Macaca fascicularis: one gene and its partner. The protein of the gene in region 2 binds, or shares a complex with, the protein of the main gene of each other region. Links are inferred from orthologs where the notes say so. Each region holds a gene or a part of one and is shown on either strand. Other genes may lie near its edges.

The links. Proteins that work in one complex are often made in the same cells at the same time.
Region 1: AHI1 (region 2) and TMEM107 share a complex: the UniProt entries of both Homo sapiens proteins name them as parts of the tectonic-like complex. The link is inferred for Macaca fascicularis from reciprocal best matches to the Homo sapiens genes AHI1 and TMEM107.

Annotation. Positions count from the first base shown.
Region 1 is NC_088390.1:8,261,417-8,265,540, reverse strand, and holds TMEM107 (transmembrane protein 107), read left to right. Parts: upstream 1-1,324; 5' UTR 1,325-1,449; coding exon 1,450-1,536; intron 1,537-1,712; coding exon 1,713-1,780; intron 1,781-1,863; coding exon 1,864-1,982; intron 1,983-2,822; exon of another isoform or gene 2,823-2,921; intron 2,922-3,088; coding exon 3,089-3,185; intron 3,186-3,430; coding exon 3,431-3,500; 3' UTR 3,501-3,702; downstream 3,703-4,124. UniProt on the Homo sapiens protein: Plays a role in cilia formation and embryonic patterning. Requires for normal Sonic hedgehog (Shh) signaling in the neural tube and acts in combination with GLI2 and GLI3 to pattern ventral and intermediate neuronal cell types.
Region 2 is NC_088378.1:39,470,506-39,474,005, reverse strand, and holds part of AHI1 (jouberin), read left to right. Parts: intron 1-2,576; coding exon 2,577-2,806; intron 2,807-3,500. UniProt on the Homo sapiens protein: Involved in vesicle trafficking and required for ciliogenesis, formation of primary non-motile cilium, and recruitment of RAB8A to the basal body of primary cilium.

The DNA.
Region 1 (4,124 bases), on a different chromosome or scaffold from region 2:
TAGCTGGGATTACAGGCACGCGCCACCACATCCGGCTAATTTTGTATTTTTAGTGGAGATGGGGTTTCAGCATGTTGGTCAGGCTTGTCTCGAACTCCTGACCTCAGATGATCCGCCCTCCTGGGCCTCCCAAAGCGCTGGGATTACAGGCGTGAGCCACTGTGCCTGGCCCGCGTATCCCTGTTTGTAGCACCTATTATCTTACGGATTTATTTGTTTGCATGTCTGTTGTTGATCTCCCTGACTAGAATACTATTACTAGGTAATAAATAAATATATAAAAATATTTGTTGAAGGAATGAGAAATGCCTCTTGGGCTTGTACTTTAGTCTGGCTAAAGGCACTGAGACGTCGAGTGGGAAGTAGGAAGATATTGTTCTCCTGGGAAATGGGCCGGGAGTTTCCTTGAGGATGGGACTTGACTGAGCAATTAGAGAAGAACTTTCAGATCTGCAGGGACCTGCGCTGAGGCCCAAAGGTCATGACGTCGCCGGTGATAAGAGCTTCCTGGACTGTAGCTGGGCAATGTCGGAGGTCCAGCACCTCCAAGAGATAAAGAAATCTAAGTTGAGTTTCCCTTCCCGTAGGCTCCAAGCCTCCCAGAGACGCAGGGACTGTACCATTCCCTTCGTCCACTCCCACCTTTCCAGCCACCTTGCTTTGCTCTTATTCCCACGCTAGTTTAAGGACGCGGACCACTTTTTGCACTCTGCAAATCCTTCACCAAACTGAGCAAAGTAGTCTGAGAGAAATCAGTCTTCCTCAAGGAAGGTTCAGGCCTAGGGTCCTCAGACAACCAGGGGCTCTGTGACAATCTGTAACTGCCGAGCAGTCCAGGAACACCGGCCTCTCCACGTTCGGGTCCCTTGTTTCTCAGGCCCAGCTTGGTGGGAAGTTAAAGGCATGAGGAGAGGAGGAAGGGGAGCGGGTGTGAGTCTTCGGCATGGCGGGGACCTCAGCCCGGCGTGGCGGTGGGAGTGATCTCAAGTGATCCACAACTGGGCAGCGTAGCTGGGGCTGGGGGCCGCTCCCGGCGTGGGCAACCGCGGAAGCAGAGGTGTCCCCAGGCTAGGCCAGGGTGGGTTTCCGTTCGTCGGCCCTGCGTGGGCAGATCGGGCGCTGCGCGGCTGTGCCACCCCTCACCCTCTGAGAAACAAAGGGCCTGGCTGCGCACGGGTACCCAGCCATTGGGTTAGAAGCTCCTTCGGGTACCCCTGACCTGAGTTAGCCCTGAAAGACCCACAGCAGATGGAGAATGTACTGCTCTCGCGAGGTTTTCCGAGAACGCGGCAGCACGCCCGCGTACGCGGTTACCAAGGCAACTGGGCGGTGCCTGAGCTGGCGGAAAGGAGGAGTTCGTCTAGATTTGTCCGCTTGCTGGTGGACTTGCGGGAGTCGCAGTCTCTGAACTTCCAGCCTCAGAGACCGCCGCTCTTGTTCCCAAGGGCCATGGGCCGGGTCTCAGGGCTTGTGCCCTCTCGCTTCCTGACGATCCTGGCGCATCTGGTGGTCGTCATCACCTTATTCTGGTCCCGGGTAAGACCCACGGCTGCCCTCCGTCCGCCCCCATTCCCATCTCGGAGTCGTCCCCGCCCCACCCTGCCCCTCTCCCAGTGTCTTACCCACTTGGGTTTTCTCGTGTTCCGCCGTCCCTAGGCCTGCCCAGCAGCCTGCCCCTTTTTCACTTCTCTTCCTCTCTGCCCTGCTCCCAGGACAGCAACATTCAGGCCTGCCTGCCTCTCAGGTTCACCCCCGAGGAGTATGACAAGCAGGACATTCAGTGAGCTCTTAGGACGGGGTGGCCAGAACGAAGAGGTGGTGGGAGTGGAGGGGTCTTAGAAGAAGTCCAAAGGCCTGAGCCAGTCCACTTCCTCTCTGCAGGCTGGTGGCCGCGCTTTCTGTCACCCTGGGCCTCTTTGCAGTGGAGCTGGCCGGTTTCCTCTCAGGAGTCTCCATGTTCAACAGCACCCAGAGCCTCATCTGTATCCTTTCTGCCTGCCCACCTTTCCCACACGACCCATTTCTATCAGGACTCCCTTCAGCCACCTGACACAATAGTGTCTGCTGTAGCCAGTCTCTCCAGTTCAAAGATCTTCAACCATGTGCTAAATCCTGCTGTTTACTAGGCACTTAAAATTCCGAAATGAGAGTAAAATACAGTTTTTGGCCAGGCACGTTGGCTCACGTCTGTAATCCCAGCACTGTGGGAGGCCCGCGCAGGAGGCAACATAGTTAGACCCCGTGTCTACAAAATAAATAGTAATAATAAAAACTCCACTTTTTTTTTTTTTAACCATGAGGAGGAGGTAGATACACATCTGTAATTCAGTGTGATAAGCAGTGTGCTATGGGAGTGTGTAAAGATAGCACAGGCAGGGTGCGATGGCTCATGCCTGTAATGCCAGCACTTTGGGAGACCGAGGCAGGTGGATCACCTGAGGTCAGGAGTTCAAGACCAGCCTGACCAACATAGTGAAACCCTGTCTGTACTAAAAATACAGAAATTAGTCGGGCGTGGCGGTGCACTCCTGTAATCCCAGCTACTCAGGAGGCTGAGGAAGGAGAATTGCTTGAACCCAGGAGGCAGAGGTTGCAGTGAGCTGAGATCGTGCCACTGCACTCCAGCCTGGGCGACAGAGCAAGACTCTGGCAAAAAACGAAAGATATAAAGCACATTGGGAACTCAGAAGAGGCAACGGAAGCCAGGCACATGGGTCAGAGAATTGTGGACCAGGAGGACCAGGACACTGGAGGCTGATTCCAGCGCATATCAAGTCGCTGTCAGCACTCCTGTGTGGCATAGCAGGAGAGCCTACTCTTACCTCTCATCTGAAGGATCCAGGCTGGCCCCTAGATATGGAGTAGGGTAGCCTGAGATCCCATCTGCGCAGTCACTTCTGGTCTCTCCTCACATGACTGTCCTAAAATTCAGAAGTCGGGGATGCTGACTCTAGCCCTTGCAATATGGTGAGGGAGCAAACGATGAACCTGAATGCAGATGCCAACCCCACCACTGGCCTTTGGCCTTTTCTGACCCCTCACTATCTGTCGATCCAAAGACTTTCCTTAACTCTGGTGCCTTCCCAAGCCATTGGGGCTCACTGTAGTGCATCCGTGGCCCTGTCCTTCTTCATATTCGAGCGTTGGGAGTGCACTACGTATTGGTACATTTTTGTCTTCTGCAGGTGTGGTAGCATCCAATATTCGGGAATGAGGGAGGAAGGCTGACCCTAAACCTGAGGGTTTTTCCCCCACCCAGCCCTTTCCTCTATGTGTGAGATACCAGATCCACTTAACATCCTGTAGTCTTTTGAATTTTCATTCCCTACCCCATGCCACCTGTCCTACACTTTCAGGGGTGGGGTCTCTGGTTTGGAGATTTGGGTATTTATATTGAAAGGGTTTCTGAATTTACCACTTGCCTCGGTAGTGCCCTTCCAGCTGTCACTGAAATGACTTTATTCGTCACCGTCTTTGGGCTGAAAAAGAAACCTTTCTGAGCACCTTCATGACGGGAACCTAAGGACGAAGGCTACAGGGGCAAGGGCCGCTTCGTATTCCTGGAAGAAGGAAGGCATAGGCTTCGGTCCTCCCCTCGGAAACTGCTTCTGCTGGAGGATATGTGTTGGAATAATTACGTCTTGAGTCTGGGATTATCCGCATTGTATTTAGTGGTTTGTAATAAAATATGTTTTGTAGTAAGATTAAGACATATACAGTTTTCAAGGCACAATTGAGATGGCGAAACTACTGAAGAAAAAAAAAGAAGCAACGTTATTTTCTAGTTCTGCAGACCGTAAGATACTTGGTATCGCTTCTATTTTGGTTATTACGGTAGTTGTCTGGCGGAAGGGAGTGGGCGGAGATATGTAAATAGAAAGTGCTTACAGTTAGAACGTCCAGCACGTAAATGATCGGAGCATTCTGGGAAAAAGAAATGTATTCCTTTTCGGCAGCCGAATGAAAAAATTCTTTTAAAAATGTGCAAGCAAATATGGCAATACAACTGGAAGGATGCTAAGTAGTAGGGTTACTCATACCAACGCGTCGTGAACTCACCCTAGCTGTAAACGGAATCTTTTTGACTGAGTGCGGAATGTCGGCTCTTTAGAAATATCGTCAGG
Region 2 (3,500 bases):
CTCCCTCCTAAAAGGCTCACAATTTTGTCACATCCTCTCTATCGCGTTTGCTTTAATTCAAGCCCTATTTTGCTGTTGACCTCAGTGTTCAGTCTCTAAGTCCTCTGTCTCTGCTGTGCTAAAATTATCTTTCCGTAACTATCTTTCATAATGCCTTAATTTTTTAAAAGACTTTACCCATTGCCCCTTGAAAAATTTTCCAGTTCCTTAGCATGGACAGGCATGTTCCTCATGGACCCAACATTCTTCTCTCATGCCCTTCCCTGTACCCTTTGCTTCACCCATGTAATCTTTTGAAACACCCTAGCATCTTATCTTCTTTGGCATCTTCCTGCCCTTTGAAACTTACCTACTTTTCCTATACCTAAATGACCTTCTCCTACCCTTGCTGACTAACTCATTCGTTCAACAAAAATTAAATGCCTTTTGTGAGCTCTCATAGGTTTGTAGTTATTAGTTACAATCCAGCTCAACTTCTGTTATTCCTTGAAGCTATCTTGGGTTTCTGCACACAATACGTAGTATATTATACTAAAGCACACATTTTTTCCTTATTTATCTTTAAAACTGATATTAATTTAGGACTGTTTACATCATTAAAATAGTATTGTGAAAGCATTAACTGAGTGAAAAGAGAAGCATTGTGGCTAGCATCAAAACGGCAAGGAGATTTTTGAGAGAGGTAAGGAATACTTGTAATAAATGAGCTGTTGTCCAAAGAAAGAGAATTAGAATTGCAAATGCTCATAAGTGGCAGAAGTATGGATTTCTGTCCATGTCTTCGCCTTCTTTATTCCTGAGGATCCCTGACACATATTATTGTCAGTGTCTCCTAAGTATTTCCCACTTGGTTAGCTCTCTGCCATATGGGTTTATCCTAAACACCCTTATTTAGTTATCCCCAGAATAATCTGTTTTTCTCAAATCAACAACGCCCAATATAGTCAGAAAGACTTTTCCATGTATAATGGCTCCCAAACATGTTCCCACTATTCCCTTTTCCCAAACATACGGCTTAACTTTGGTATGTTTTTTCTTTCCCAAATCTAGTAATTTTTGTGTGCGTTCATTCAGTCTTTACAAGTTTGTGTTTCTTTGTTGTCTATTATCTAGTCTGATTTTTTTTCCCCAAGCCCATTTATATATTCCTTTGAATGTCAGATTCTCCCATGGCCTGGGTAACAGAAGCCATCATTGATTCCAGTTCAGTTTTTACACAAAAAGCTTTACTTTTTTTTTTTTTTTTAATATTATGTCTAATTATATTGAGCTGTTTTGAAGATGTATTTGCTTCATTTCTGCCTGTTATATAGTATTTTAAATAATGCTACTAAGATTTCTTGCCAAACAACTGAGTTTTTTATCTTTTATCTTTTTAATATTTTCCCAAAGTTAGTGGTTTTATTCTTCTAATAGACATCATATTTCATATAAATATGCTTATTGAAAATATACTGTGGTAAAAAATGTTTGTGCAATTGATTCATGTGCTTTATTTTTACTTGAAAACATGTTCTTTCACTTCCTCTATTATTAGTTTGGATTCTTAGTAATTGAAGATCATATCCTATATTGTAAGCAGCTGCTGAGGAAACTCATAGAATATTATTCTTGAATAGAAACTGTTTTTTTTTTCTCTTATCAGTAATCTTGTAACAGACTTACTTTGCTTTAGTTTTCAAGCAGTGATTAAAAGGATGAATACAAATCCCATATTTAAAATTAATATGTTGTTCTAATTTTGATAACCAAATATATTTTAAAAACTAGTGCTTCACACTTATATAGCACCTGTATATTGGTAGAGTTCACCTAGTTTTATACATTGCTAGAGATGCAGAGTATCTAACAGATTAACCCTTAGGGATTTACTCATTTGTCAAGACTGTCGCAGTGATTATAATCTTAATTTTTTTTAATTAGCCATTATTTAGAGGACAGGATAATGAGTGTTAAACAAAAAGGACGTGCTTAATGTAGGATAGTCTTTTCTATCAAAATGTCATAGTTATTTTAATCTTATTTTACTTGAGAATTCAAAATATAATAATTTTAGTATCTCTTTTAAATCTTTGAGATTTTCATTTTTACTATCTAGGCTTTGAAATTACAAATATAAAAGTTAATAGACTATGCTATTCTCTAAACCCCCATTAATAAACATTTTGTAAAAGTGGTGTACACAATGTAAATGGGAAATCATTAAAGTTTCTCCCTGTATATTTTTTATGCATATTGTACTAAATGCAATATTTTACCAACTGTTCAATGTGTGTTTAACCAATGGCAAAATAGGTAGGTTTAAAAAACAGTTATTAATTTTATAGTATAGATTACAATTAGTGGATATAATATGCTGGATGATAACTATAACAAATAACTTTGTCATAATGTGAAAATTCAAGTCATCAAATATGAGATCATCATCATATTTTTCATTGTTTTAAAACTTAGTTTATCATTGGTTGTTGTCAGTTGCTTACTTAAGGTTCATTGGCTATGTTGGTTCTTAGAAAAACTGTTAAAAGAAACTTCTGCTTTTAAGAAGCAATATGTAACTTCTTATCCTTTTCCAGGATATGGAAAAATGAAATAAACAATACAAATACTTTCAAAGTTTTACCTCATCCTTCTTTTGTTTACACGGCTAAATTCCATCCAGCTGTAAGAGAGCTGGTAGTTACAGGATGCTATGATTCCATGATACGGATATGGAAAGTTGAGATGAGCGAGGATTCTGCCATGTTGGTCCGACAGTTTGACGTTCACAAAAGTTTTATCAACTCACTTTGTTTTGATACTGAAGGTATGTCAGAGAGTATGAATGAAGACCAGCTATGTGAAGAATTTTTTTTACCAGAATAATAGTTATCGAGGCTTGAGAGGGTTATGTACTGATGATTGTGCATATTTAGGTGTATGCTTGTTTTGCAGGTCATATGATAGATTTGACATTGAAGGAGTTCTGTTTGTAATTTTTAAGTTACTCTTAAATATTTAAAATTGCATAAATATATTTCTTTGGACTGGTGATTATCATTCTTACTTTCTTTCAAGAACCTTAAAATTTGCAAACATATAGAAGGGAAATATGCAATTATTTAAAGTAAGAATAATATAGTGGCTGGGCGCTGTGGCTCATGCCTGTAATCCCAACACTTTGGGAGGCCAAGATGGGTTGATCACGAGGTCCGGAGACCAAGACCATCCTGGCTAACATGGTGAAACACCATCTCTACTAAAAATACAAAAAATTAGCTGGGTGTGGTGCTGGGTGCCTGTAGTCCCAGCTACTTGGGAGGCTGAGGCAGGAGAATCGCTTTGAACGTGGGAGGTAGAGGTTGCAGTGAGCTGAGATCGCGCTACTGCACTCCAGCCTGGGTGACAGAGTGAGACTCTGTCTCAAAAAAAAAGAATAATGTAGTATGTCTTAAAGATGTAAAACATAAATCATTTTATTATCTGAAAGAATAAAGAAATTTATTATATCTATTAAATAG